3 separate regions of the Mus musculus genome follow, and regions 2 and 3 are each reported to be linked to region 1. Evidence: microRNA targets listed by miRTarBase, many of them from high-throughput screens and not tested one by one. Region 1 holds a microRNA gene; each other region holds the end of a gene's coding sequence.

Region 1 (4,157 bases):
TGGCCTGGCTCCCTCAAAACCCTCTTTAGCAGCTACAAAAGAACCTGTCCCCCAGGCTCCTGGCACCTACGTCATCCTTCTCCAGCATGCGCAGGATCTGCTTGGTCTCTTCGTCTGTTTCTCTCTTCTCTTTTTTGATGTTGATGATATGAGAAGGTCCCATGTCGGACATGTCCACGGTCTTATCCCAGTTCCCTGCGGGAAATCATGCTGTCCACTAGGGTTCAATAAGGAAGACTGCCCACAGCGAGGAGAGCCCAACTTGGAATGGAGACTCCCACGCTCTGCCTTCTCAGGCAGTCTGAACTGCAACCCAGACCAGGTCCCTTCCTGGTACCTTTTTTTTTCATCATTTCTGCCGGACCCTGCTCGAAGATAGAATGGGACTGGATCACTTCCGGGCGGCCACGTCCCCGTCCGTGACCCTCACGCTGGCGGTCCCTGTCCCGTTCACGCTTTTCCTTCTTCATAGTCACTTCTTCTTTTGGCCTGGGAATGAGGACAGACAAAAGGGTCTGCCTCAGGAAATGGAGCCTCCTCGCTTGCCCCTTTCAGCCCGCTGAGCAGAGCTTGTGAGCCAGTAAGTACACTACGAGAATCGGCACCCAACCCTTCGCTATACCTTTGACATCTCCCATAAAGCACGGCCTTTAATTTCCTTCTACTTTACCGTCTTGTCAAAATGTGGGCCTTTTGTTTTGTTTGTTGGTTTTTTAACCCTCTAAAAGTAGAAAGGCTGGAGAGCAGAGGACCTTAAGGCAAAGTTGGAGAGTTCAGCCCCACCTCGGCAGAAACAGAAGGTAGCTGAAACTATAAGAGATGGAGCCTACTGGGTGGTTACCCAGCTCCTAAAGGAGAATAGAAACTCAGCCCTTTCCTCTCCTTAATTTCTTTCTTCCCTTGGGTATTCCGACTGCATTCATTGCCATACCATGAACCCAAAAGCAAGAACCACCTGATTGATCGTGGACTAAAATCTCCAAAACAAAATGTCCCTCTCTGTAAGCCAATTATCTCAGCTATTTATTACAGAAAAAAAACAAAACAAAACAAAAACCAAAAAGACCCTCTAATGCAAAGTGCCCTGGAGCTAAGCGTGGAGGTGTACATCTTAATCCCAGCACTCAGGACACAGGTCTGAGAGGCAAGCACATCTCTGGGAGTTCTAGGCCAGCAACCTACATAAGTGAGTTCCAGGACATGCAAGGCCATGTAGCGAGGCACTGTCTCAAAAAGAAACATGCCCCTATATAACCCAGGATTGAAGGATGAGAACCACTGGTGAATAAGCTAATAGCGTAAGTTAAAATCTCTAGGCCACACAACCTAATTACGTCCCCAAATTCAGAGCTAACCGGGGTGAGTACTGTTCATTCATTACTTACTCTTCTTTGATCTTCCGACTGATGATATTTGGGGTGAAGGTTTTCTGAAAAGTAAAACACAGTACTGTATTTTCGATGTGCTCAACTGACCAACAGTCCTGGGATGGCTTAGAGAGACAGGTAGACTATCACCAGTAGCCCCCAAGGCAAAGCTAAAATGCTTTATCCTGTGTTTGCTATTCCTTTTCAGAGCTACTCGGTACAGTTACATCTACTGTTACACACATAACAGGAGGGGACAAAGAGCAGTTACCGGCATGCCTAAGATTCATCACTTACTAGATTATTAGTTTTCAATACTGACATCCACAGAGTTATGAACACTCGAAATTGCAAGTAAAGCAATTTTGTCTGGCTTTCAAGGGATTTTGTAAGGAGCCCAGAACATAATAAGCACTTCCGGATGTCTTGAATCAACTAGATTCACTGTCTTTTAATTGCCTAGGAGACCCTGTCAGTGTCCTGTACCAGCACCTAGGTTTGCAGGTCTCTCTAAAGGCTGACATCCCACCAGGGGCCCAAGGCAGCACATGAATGAACATCACGAGTCGCCTCCCTACGGCCTGGGTGGGTTTCTATACAAACGCGCTCGCAGGTACCTTCTTGACTCCGCCAAGGGTGAGGTCCCGGGAGCGGATGGAGGGAAGGCGACCGGGCGTAAGCGGGGGTGCGGGCCGCCGGCCGATCAGCCCCCGGCCCCCAGAGAGAAGGGGTCGCGGCCCTCCAGGATTGCTGGGCTCGCCCGCCGCGTTTCCTTCCGACATGGTTCCTAGAAGAAAGTAGGCAACAAAGTGACTCCAAGGGCTGGACGCGAGGACCCTGGGCGGAACCGCACCCACGTGGCCTCCCGCCCCCCGCCCGTGCGTCGCTCTCGCTGCAGCTCAGCTCCTCCCCGTCCCACGTGGCGAGGCTTCCCGGAGCGCCCCACCCCTAGCTTTGGACTCCGTCACCTGCCCTTTCCCTGGGGACTTCGTGACGCACCTGCGTGGAGGCTCTGCGCCGAGTATCACAACCTCACCTCCGACTAGAGCAACCACGGGCCGCGGGTCTCCGGGCAAGGCGGAAGTCTGCGTGGCAAGGACCGGGCGCTGCCATCTTACCCTGGGGCGGAAGTGACATCAAGGGGGCGTGACCTGACCATAGTATTTATCCGACGGTGCCTCGCCGCCCTCCGCCTTCTCTTCCCGGTTCTTCCCGGAGTCGGGAAAAGCTGGGTTGAGAGGGCGAAAAAGGATGTGGGAGGTGGACTGTAAGCTGTGCCGGGGTGTGACTCGTGGGGGCGTGTCTCGGCCCCTGGCAGGGAGTAGAGGTGCGGTCCTCGGGGTCGGAGGTGGAGGGGCTCCAAGGTCGCCTACCTGCTGTATGTGGAGTCCACACTGCGCAGCCTCTGGGAGCAGTGGGGTCGCCGCTCGGGATGGGGCTCCGGACATAGGGAGCTTAGAGCCCTCAGGCCGTGGCTGGCTGCAGCCTCCCTGCGTTGACCTTGGCGTGGTCATTGCACCTTCGGGCTCGACCCTTTGCTCGCGTGCGCCTTCCCTTGCCGGTCCCTGGGGTCTTGGGGTGTCACCCTTAACGCAGTTTGGACAGAGCAGCCAATAGCTCTTCTCATCTACCTGGGCCCATGACTGCTTAGTCAAATCTGGGAAGCCTTTGGAACTGAAGTTTGCTCTTCAACTGGAAGGGTTTTTGTTTTTTGATTTTTGGTTGGGAGGTGTGGGTATTTTTAAGACAACCCTGCTCTGTAACCCTATCTAGTCTGGAACTTAAGTAGACCAGGCTGGCCTCGAATTTGCAGCAGTCCAGTCTCTTCACTCATCCCTCAGTTGTAGGGATTACAGATGTACACCACCAATCCCAGCTGAAAAATTTTTTTATTGTAATGTGTGGTTGCAATCTAATCTGGGGGGGGGGGAGTCATTTAATGTTACACTACAGCGACCCCAATACAAATAAAAAGGTTATGTAATTCTAGGGAAGGAACCTATTTCTGCTGGAATTCCATAGGCTGCTAGCATTAAAATATTTTTGATGTACTGTAATATTGTGCCACACAATAGTGTATTCTTTGTCGGAGACAAATGACCAATGGGAGGATATATATGTGCATATTTATATGTATATATCGTAACTTGTTTCCTTAATGGGGCACTTACTTTAAATAGGTATGTTGTTAGAAATAGCTAGTGTACATTTGATACATCCAACTTTTTTGCTTTCTTGTAGATTATATCCCTAGGAAAGAGTTTCAGAAAATGTACATATTAAAAGTATACTTTGCTGGGCAGTGGTGGCACACGCCTTTAATCCCAGCACTTGGGAGGCAGAGGCAGGTGGATTTCTGAGTTTGAGGCCAGCCTGGTCTACAGAATGAGTTCCAGGACAGCCAGGGCTACACAGAGAAACCCTGTCTCGAAAAACCAAAATAAATAAATAAAATGAAAATAGTAAATAAGTAAACTTCATTTTGATGTCATACATATGCAGTTATTTAAAAAAAAAAAAGGGGGGGGGGGAAATTATGTGACAAGCCAGGCATGTTGGTGCATGCCTGTAAACCCAGTACTTGGGAGGAAAAAGCAGGCAGGTCTCTGAGTTTACACCAGCTTGGACTACAAAGTGAGACACTGATGGTGATGATGATGATAATGATTCAGCAGAGCCCAAATTCTGTTTACTTTGTTTTCCACAATAGTAAGATCTAGCACTTATATCAAAACCAGAATATTGACATTTTTGCAGTCATGGTACAAGACATTTCAGCATGACAGGAAT
Region 2 (4,157 bases), not on the chromosome of region 1:
AGGCACTAATTAAGAAAATGCCCTATTGGCTTCCTTATAGCCCAATCTTCCTTATAGCCCAATTTTCTCAGTTGAGGACTTCTCCTTTCAGTTGGCATGAAACTTAGCAGCTCACAAGTTGTCATCCCAGTTTCATGAAGACAAGACCATTTTGGAAAAACATAGTGCTTCTTCAGCCAATGGTAGTGACCAGTACTGTAAACTCTGCTGGCTCTCTGAGCCTCAGAGCCCATAAGGTAGAGCACAGGCTAGCTGGCACATAAGTAGGAGCAAGCAGGCCCACTTTTTTTGCTGTGCTGTGAGACAGCAAGGCTGTAAAGCAGGGTTTCTGAGCGTTGTCACATTCGTGTCACAAGCTGTGTGCTTGGGGAGCATCTAGTGTAGTGCAGAACAGGATGCTGATGATTAGCAGTGTCACTTTCCTCTCTCCAGTCAACAAAGATGTCTGTGGGCAGTAAAGCGTTGCTGTGGACTTAGCTGTCTTGGAGGCAAGCCCTTTCTGGTAGGACTATTGACTTTGAAAACTTTGCTCACAAGATGTACAGAAAAGTGAAACCTGGGAGACAGATGTCACAGGGTATGACCAGAGGAACCTGACAGACCCATCGTGCATCCCCATGGATTAAAGTTAACCGCCATTGCCGGGCATGGTGGCGCATGCCTTTAATCCCAGCACTTGGGAGGCAGAGGCAGGCGGATTTCTGAGTTCGAGGCCAGCCTGGTCTACAAACTGAGTTCCAGGATAGCCAGGGCTATACAGAGAAACCCTGTCTGAAAAAACAAAACAAAACAAAAACAAAAAAAAAGTTAACAGCCATCATTGATCCATGCTACTTGATGACCTCATTTTCATGCTAAGTGGCAGGTGTTCTGACAAAGCCACTGCATCGCTTTGCAGGAAGGGCTCTACCATTTGCCCTTCTAAAAAGTTGAAGGTGAGGATAAAAATATAAGCAATGGATTTTCTTCATTGTAATTTTTATATGTTCCTAATAGGGAGTATGGTGATCCATTTGATGCTTCCAGAAACCAGAGAAACCTATGAATTAGAGAAACTATGGACTCTACGTTCTTTTGATGACCAGTTAGCTCAGATAGCAGCTGAGACGTTACCTGAAGACTTCATTCTTGGACTGGAAGATGACACTTCATCCCTGACTCCAGTGGAGTTCAAATGTAAATAAACAAAGTTAATGCCATTCTTCCCTTTGATATGACTGAGCCATCTGCTTGGTCACTACAAGTTCCTGTCTACCTCGTGAACACTCTTGCTGGTAGCTCACAGACCAAGAACCAGTAATTCAGTCCCTGTTTTTCAGCATCCTATCTTTATTCTTGAAATTCTAGCATGATGCCTCAGGTAGCACTGACCCCGTGACTGACTCAAGTTCTCTATTTAGACTATCAGCCTGCCTCCCTTCCCCAGTTTTTTTCCAAATATGTCTGAGGGCAATAGTAAGTGGCTGGGTGCTAGGGTATAAGGATAGCATTTCTATAAATACGTGGCACAAGTACAATATTTATATTTAGAACATTATGGAAAGTCATGTAAATCTGTAGATCTTAGTTTGTGTTAAATAGGACAACCAAGGTTCACATTCTTGAATCAGGGCCTGAAAAAATAACGTGCTGGTAGGTTACTGTTTACTGTAAGATTATCATAGAAAATAACTCAAGAACACTCACTCATCTGAAAACATACTACAGAAGCTGTGGTTTATGATGAAAACTTTATTCTGCATCAGGGTACCTGGAAAGTGAAGCTGCATTTGGGGCACACTACAGATGAGAAATGATCTGTATATGGTGAACACAAAACACAATTATAGAGTTACTCAGTACCAGGTACTCCAGACTACCAGTGCTTAAATGAAAGTAAAACATGATTGGCCACTCTAAAGGCTAGACATGAAATATGGCAGAATTGAAACCAACAGATAGAAATGTAGCACCTGTCAGTTTTTTAAAAAACAAACACTGGAAAAATCAAATACTGAGGAAGAGCTCTGGCCTTAAGCATATCTCCCCTGAGACCCAAGCAGGAGAGCCGGTCACATTTTCTTTTTTAAGCAGTTTAAATCCACCATATGAAAATGCTAGATGAATTCAGTTGTAAAAAGGGGGCACTTTTTGGCTAAAACTACAAAATTAACCGGTTTTATGAAAATGTTTAGGAATTCATTTTCACAATGTCTAAATGATATGCTGATACTCAGAAAAACTTAAAGGCATGTAGAAGTTAATCCTGAAACACAATGAGGCAAAGTGGTTTTCTGAAGGGTTACATAATACCCTCAGGGTCAGTGTAATATGACTGTAACCACATTATGAACAAAGCAACAAGAACAACTCAGAAAGCAGCATGGCCTTGAGGATCACCCGCACCTACAAGTATCCATACAGGGCTTTGCCACTAAGTTGAGGAAGGGCAAAGGGAAGTCCGATGTTTCCACAGTCTGAATTCCCAAAACCGTTTGCTGGATCCCCTACCTTGACTCGCTGGCAGGTAATGCAGGGCAGACAGAAACTCTGCTACATTTCATGGAAGACTTTTGGTGGACTTAATTCTTCCACTGTTTAAAACATCTTTAAAATAGCTTAGGCTCGAGACAGTGCCAGGCACAAGGAAATGGAGATTTTGTTGCCCTTCGGCCCTGTCATACCACCTGACTCCCCCTGGTCTTCACAAAGCAATCCTTTCCATGTCTGCTCAGAGTATGGTCTGATCTCAAGTGTGTTAGCAAGCTGAGCATCTGGTAAAACAAACTCAAGCTGATTTTGTTTAAATTCTGCATTTCTTCACTGACATGAATTTCTTCCTTTTCGTGGTGACAGTCAAAGCACAAAGCATTTGCAAATTCCCACACATAGCTAAACACAAATCCCCAAGTCTCCTGGAGCCCTGTACACTAGCTGTCCTTTACCCTAGCTGTCCTGTACACTGGCCGTCCCAGCCCCTGCCTGCTTGGTCAGTACCGTCAACAACCTTCCCAGATAGGAACAAAGGAGTACATGGCATGGCTGCTCTTGAGAATAGGCACTGCTCCTTATCTTTGAACAGTTAGTGGACTTTCCAACTTTCAAAGGCTCAAAAAATGCAAAATTATTTTTCCAACTTTACTCTCACCAGCCAGACGTAAAATTACTTTTTCAATGACTTGCCTATCAGCTGATAACTGTTAAATTTTATTTTTTTTAAAAAAACGGTTGGAGTTTTTATAAAGTATATAAAATTTTCAAAAAAGGAATAATTTTGCTTTTAACTGTATTACTGAATACCTGAGGTAGTTGAGTAAAAATGCACGTTTAATACCCTGCCAACAGCGGCTGGCACTTCCCTTAGGTTATCCATGTTAGTGTTAGAGAAACAGGAGACAACAGCTCTTCTATTCTAATGGCTTAATGTTGTGTTCCTCTGACAATTCTACTTTGATCCAATTTCAACAATTGGACTTAGGAACAATCTAGTTTTAAATTTATTTGATAAATTTAGTGAATGTACCATTTATGCCAATTTCTGGCATTATAGAGGGATATTAAGAAAAATTAGCACGTTTGTTATACTTTGATATCACAAGGGAAGTGCAGAGTTCTCTTTCCTTACCCCCACTTTTTTTTTTTTTTTTTTTTTTTTTTTAAAGCTGGGTGTCATATATTTCAGAGAGCATAAAGTATACATTCTCACAGAGACAGGATCGAGTGCCTGGTCCTCGGAAACAACCAGCTAGGTAAAAACTCGTGCACGTGGTTCTGGATGGGTCAGCACCCGTCTGTTGGTTAAGCAAATCTGTCTTTGGTTTGGCATCTGCCTCTGTGGTGGCTGTCTCCTGAGCCTTTACTTCCGCCTTGACTGAGGTGGTCCACTCTGCAGAGCTTTCTGCTGCTGGTGCTGCTTTACCTGAGTCAGAATTTCCTGAATTTTCCTCTGGGCAACCTACAAAAGGACAGAACTTCATAGAATCTGCACAGTACAAAGTTACTAAGTTACTGCAACAACATCAAGTTGAAGTCCTTGTGCCCAATACTTAACAGTGTGCTGGCTCAAAGGAAAACTAGATGTGCCAAGCACAGTGGTGCATAAGGACAGAAGCTGAGGTGTGGGGGTCTCTGGAGCCTAGGAGTTCAAGGCTAGCCTGGGTAAAAGCAGAAACAGCACA
Region 3 (4,157 bases), not on the chromosome of region 1:
ACCCAGCCAGCCGTGCTGAAGAGTGCCGCTCATCTTCCTGTTTCCACAGATTCTATAAGCTTCATGAGCGGAAGTGTGAGCCCATTGCCATGACAGTGCCTAGAAAGGTATGCTCTTATGCTCCTCCCAGGGTGCTGGGGCAGGAAATGACCACGGGGGTTTGTAGGGTGGGACAGAAACATAAACACTCTTGTGACCAGCCTTGGCCTTGCCCACAGTCGGACCTGTTCCAGGAGGACCTGTATCCGCCCACTGCAGGACCCGACCCTGCCCTCACAGCTGAGGAATGGCTGGGTGGTCGGGATGCTGGCCCCCTCCTCATTTCCCTCAAGGATGGCTACGTGCCCCCAAAGAGCAGGGAGCTGAGGGTCAACAGGGGCCTGGACAGCGCTCGCAGAAGAGCTACACCAGAGCCCAGCGGCACGCCCAGCTCGGTAAGGCGGGCGGGGGGCTGGGGCAAAGCCTGCATGGATGTGCTCAATGTCTCATGGGGAGAGAGTCCAGTGTTAGAGATGCCCAAGCCAAGGGCAAGGAGTGGGTGACCTGGAGGCCTTAGAAACCAGGTTGCAAGCTTATAGGCATGCAGTAATCCGGGTAGCATCTGCTGGGAAAGAAGGGCCCAAGCCTTGCAGCTCTTGGAAAGGCTAGCAGATGTCAGAGGAAGCAACAGAGAAGCTGGGCCTGATACAGGGCTGGGTCTCCTAGGATACCGTGTCAAGGCTGGAGGAGGACGTGAGGAATCTGAACGCCATAGTGCAAAAGCTACAAGAGCGCCTGGACAGGCTGGAGGAGACTGTTCAGGCCAAGTAGAACCCCAGAGCCCTCATCTGGGGCCAGCCATCCCCTCTGCTCCCACCCCACCCTCAGGCCATATGGTGAATAAGACGAAAATAATAAAACGGCTTTATTTTCTGGTACCTCTCAGACTCCGGTGAACTGGTGAGCCCCGAGGCTTCCCCTTGAGAGTTCTCTGAATGCGCTGCCCCCATTCGGGCTGTGGGTCACTTCCAAATTCACACTATAGCAGAGGAAAGGGCCTTGCCCGGTATGATACCTGCAGGGATGGATGGAGCTGGACACTGTTCTCTGTTCCCTAGCTCCACCTCAGAGCAGGTCTGAGTCATCCAAATCCCTATCTTAGGGCCCCCAAAATGTCCACAGTCACCCCCAAACTTTTCGTGTTTTCTTTGATAGTGCTGGACCAAAGCCGTTAATATGCTATGTAGGCTGTCATTCTAGCTATGTCTCTAGCCTTGACCCCAAATTAGCATTTCCTGGTCAACTCCAGCACAGCCTGCAAACAACCACACTGATAACTCCTTGAGCTACTGACTCAAAGAACAAAAATAACAAGACTGCAGAGCAGACGCCACTCACGTCTGTAATCTGAACACTTGGGAGACCGAGGGTTGCTGCGGGGTTCAAGCCAGAAACTCAGTTGACAGTGGCTATAAAGTGAGATACTGCCTCAAACCAAACCAAACCAGATGGGGCTTGGGTGTGGCCTGGCTGGCAGCACCAGGCCCTAGGTTTGATTCCTTACCCTGCATAAACCAAGTGTGGTGCCCACACCTATAATCTCAGCACTGGGGAGGCGATGGCAGGAGGGTCAGAAGTTCAAAGCCAGCCTAGAATAGAGACCCTGTTTCAAAAACAACTGTAATAAAGCCAAAAACAGGAGGTTGGAGGGTTGACTTAGTGGTTTAGTGTTTCCCTTGCAGTCATAGGGATTAGAACTCAGATCCCAGCATCCACATTACAAGCTGGGAAACCTTGCAAATACCTGCAACCCAGCTCTGATGTGGATAAAACAGGATTTCGGGGCTGGTTGGCTTCCAGCCTAAAGAAGAAGCAAACATGGGTTCAGAGAGAGAGAGAGAGAGAGAGAGAGAGAGAGAGAGAGAGAGAGAGAGAGACTACTTCAAAGGAATAAGTTGAAAATGACAGAAGGCTGAGCAATGGTGGCACACGCCTTTAATCTCAGCACTTGGGAGGCAGAGGCAGGCGGATTTCTGAGTTCGAGACTAGCCTGGCCTACAGAGTGAGTTCCAGGACAGCCAGGGCTACACAGAGAAACCCTGTCTCGAGAAACCCAAAAAAGAAAAAGGAAAAAAAAAAAAAATGACAGAAGACAGATACCTGACGGCCTCTTCTGGCCTCCACTCACATAAACAGGCATGTATATACCTGCAAGCAAATACACTCACACATACACACAGGTAAAAACAAAACTTGGGCTGGAGATGCAGCTCAGCAGTTCAGAGAACTTGCTGTCGTTCCAGAGGACCAGAGTTCTAATCCCAACACCCACAAAGCCTTTAGTCTCAGCACTCTGGAAGCAGAGGCAGGCAGATCTCTGAGTTCTAGGGCAGCCAGGGCTACAAAGAGAGTCCTGTCTCAAAAAACAAACAAACAACAAAAACTAAGGGAAAAAAAACTTGACAAAACAGACAACATCCCATAAAGACAAACGAATAAGGAAACAGTCGGACCCTGAGCTAACATGGAACAGGGTAGTGGTTGGCAGTTCCGAAACCATGGTCTAAGACCCCCCAACCCCACTTCATTCTCAGCATCCTCCTGCCTCAGAGAATTGCCTGTAGGTTTCAGAGGACCTGGCCTCTGAGGAAGACAGGAAGGAACAGATCTCTTAAACCCTATCTATAGGAGTAAGGTGTTTGTTTTTGTGCACTGTGACCGTTTCACACGGATCCCCGTGGTCCTGAACACCTGATACTTCTGCCTCTACCTTTTATTCTACATGTGCGTCACAATGCCTGGTTTATATGGTAATGAGGACTGAACCTGGGGCTTCAGGGATGCTAGGCTAGCACTGTCGACTACCTATATGAGTGCATGCTTTTAAAGATATTCTCAATATGACAGCAGTTGCTGTGCCTGATTGGTGGGAGACTCTAGAGCTGGGGTCACACAGAGCGGTTCCAGAGGGTAGAGCTGGGATGGCACAGAACTGTTCTAGAGGGTCGGAGACTCTAGGGCAGAGGTGACAGAGCGGTTCTATAGTGTACCATGGCTGAATTGATACAATGCAGAGAACACCCAGGACCCCACCCCGGCCCTCCTCTCTTCAGCACACCATGGAGTTTTCTGGGTATAGACAATGGAAAATTCTGCCTGCCAGCTTGTGTCTCACCCCGACAGGGCATGTGATCCTGGGCAAGCCCCTTCTGCCTATAAACTGGAGGAGGGCCATCACTGGGGAGTGAAGGGGTGCTCTTTTGGGGTCCTTGTGAGGAGACTGAATCACTAGTTCTCCAGAGGAACTGAAAATGTTCAGGAAATGATGCCAGGGACAGGGAAGACATGAACACTGACTACTATGATCCCAGCTTGACCAACCTCTGTGATGAAATCAAGAGAAGATGGAGACAGGAAACTGGGTGGCTGAGACAAGCCTTGACAATATGGGAAGGACTGGGCATTGTGCTGGACGTCTGTAGCCATAGCTGCATGGAAGACTAAGGCCAAAGGATCCCCTAAGCTCATGAATTTACAAGCAGCCTGGGAAACATATGGGGACCTGTCTGAAAGACAAAACCAAAGCAAAGATCCACAGTGGAGAGGAACTAGCTGTGGGAGAGCTGAACTGAACATCAGCGTGCATTGTGTCCATCCCTCCTCCTGAGTGTGTACGCCTGTGAAGAGACTGACAGAAATTCTGTATCTTGTCTCTGCTACTTCCAGGAACCTGGAGTGAGGGAACCTGGGAGAATGCTCAGGGTTTCTGAGGGCTGACAGAGCAGGAACACCCTGCTTTTTGAGGTCTGACCTTGGTGACAGTACAGACCACAGGGTTTGACAGTAAAGCCTTGGCAGACTTAAGAACCGAATCTTCATTGTTTAAGTTGGGACCTAGAGGGCTCAGGAAAGAAATCCATCCAAATTTGCTGAAACAATGGCTGGAGGAGAGTCAGGGAAAAGCCACATCCGTGACTTGGCCTCAGGGTCTTCAAACAGCACACTGAGACCAGCTGGGCCAGGTTTAAATTTTAATGACTGTTCAGGCCTAGGCCCCTCATTCACGCCGCTGTCGGGTCCACTGCTCTGGGGTCAGAGTTTTCTGCTCAAAGGCATGGATGTGCGGGAGCTCTTCGGCTAAGCACTCGTTCACCAGCCTGGAGCGAGAGAAGGGAATG

Evidence for each region. The annotated mature microRNA mmu-miR-320-3p reads AAAAGCUGGGUUGAGAGGGCGA and lies in region 1 at 2,591-2,612, shown strand. An mRNA with a match to its seed (bases 2 to 7 or 8) in the 3' UTR can be bound and repressed. Matches are read on the target gene's strand: a 7mer-m8 pairs with bases 2 to 8, a 7mer-A1 pairs with bases 2 to 7 and ends in A, and an 8mer does both.
Region 2: the mRNA of Igf2bp3 is a reported target of mmu-miR-320-3p. Seed matches in the 3' UTR shown: 8mer at 3,637-3,644.
Region 3: miRTarBase lists Coro1a as a target of mmu-miR-320-3p. The part of its 3' UTR that is shown has no 7-base or 8-base seed match.

What each region holds. Positions count from the first base shown.
Region 1 is chr14:70,440,967-70,445,123 of GRCm38, forward strand. It overlaps Mir320 (microRNA 320), which reads left to right and starts at 2,544; the gene lies at 2,544-2,625. Polr3d (polymerase (RNA) III (DNA directed) polypeptide D) reads right to left here and starts at 2,505. Exons shown (of 9, transcript NM_025945.3): 1 at 2,367-2,505; 2 at 1,985-2,154; 3 at 1,386-1,429; 4 at 338-489; 5 at 71-195. The coding sequence starts at 2,149.
Region 2 is chr6:49,083,507-49,087,663 of GRCm38, forward strand. Igf2bp3 (insulin-like growth factor 2 mRNA binding protein 3) reads right to left here. Exons shown (of 15, transcript NM_023670.3): 15 at 1,712-3,934. The coding sequence ends at 3,836. Malsu1 (mitochondrial assembly of ribosomal large subunit 1) reads left to right here. Exons shown (of 4, transcript NM_029353.1): 4 at 997-1,211. The coding sequence ends at 1,184. Among named protein-coding and RNA genes, the nearest start is that of Malsu1, 12 kb to the left of the region's middle.
Region 3 is chr7:126,696,534-126,700,690 of GRCm38, reverse strand. Coro1a (coronin, actin binding protein 1A) reads left to right here. Exons shown (of 11, transcript NM_009898.3): 9 at 50-107; 10 at 219-434; 11 at 706-917. The coding sequence ends at 810. Bola2 (bolA-like 2 (E. coli)) reads right to left here. Exons shown (of 3, transcript NM_175103.3): 3 at 3,998-4,136. The coding sequence ends at 4,037. Among named protein-coding and RNA genes, the nearest start is that of Bola2, 2.6 kb to the right of the region's middle.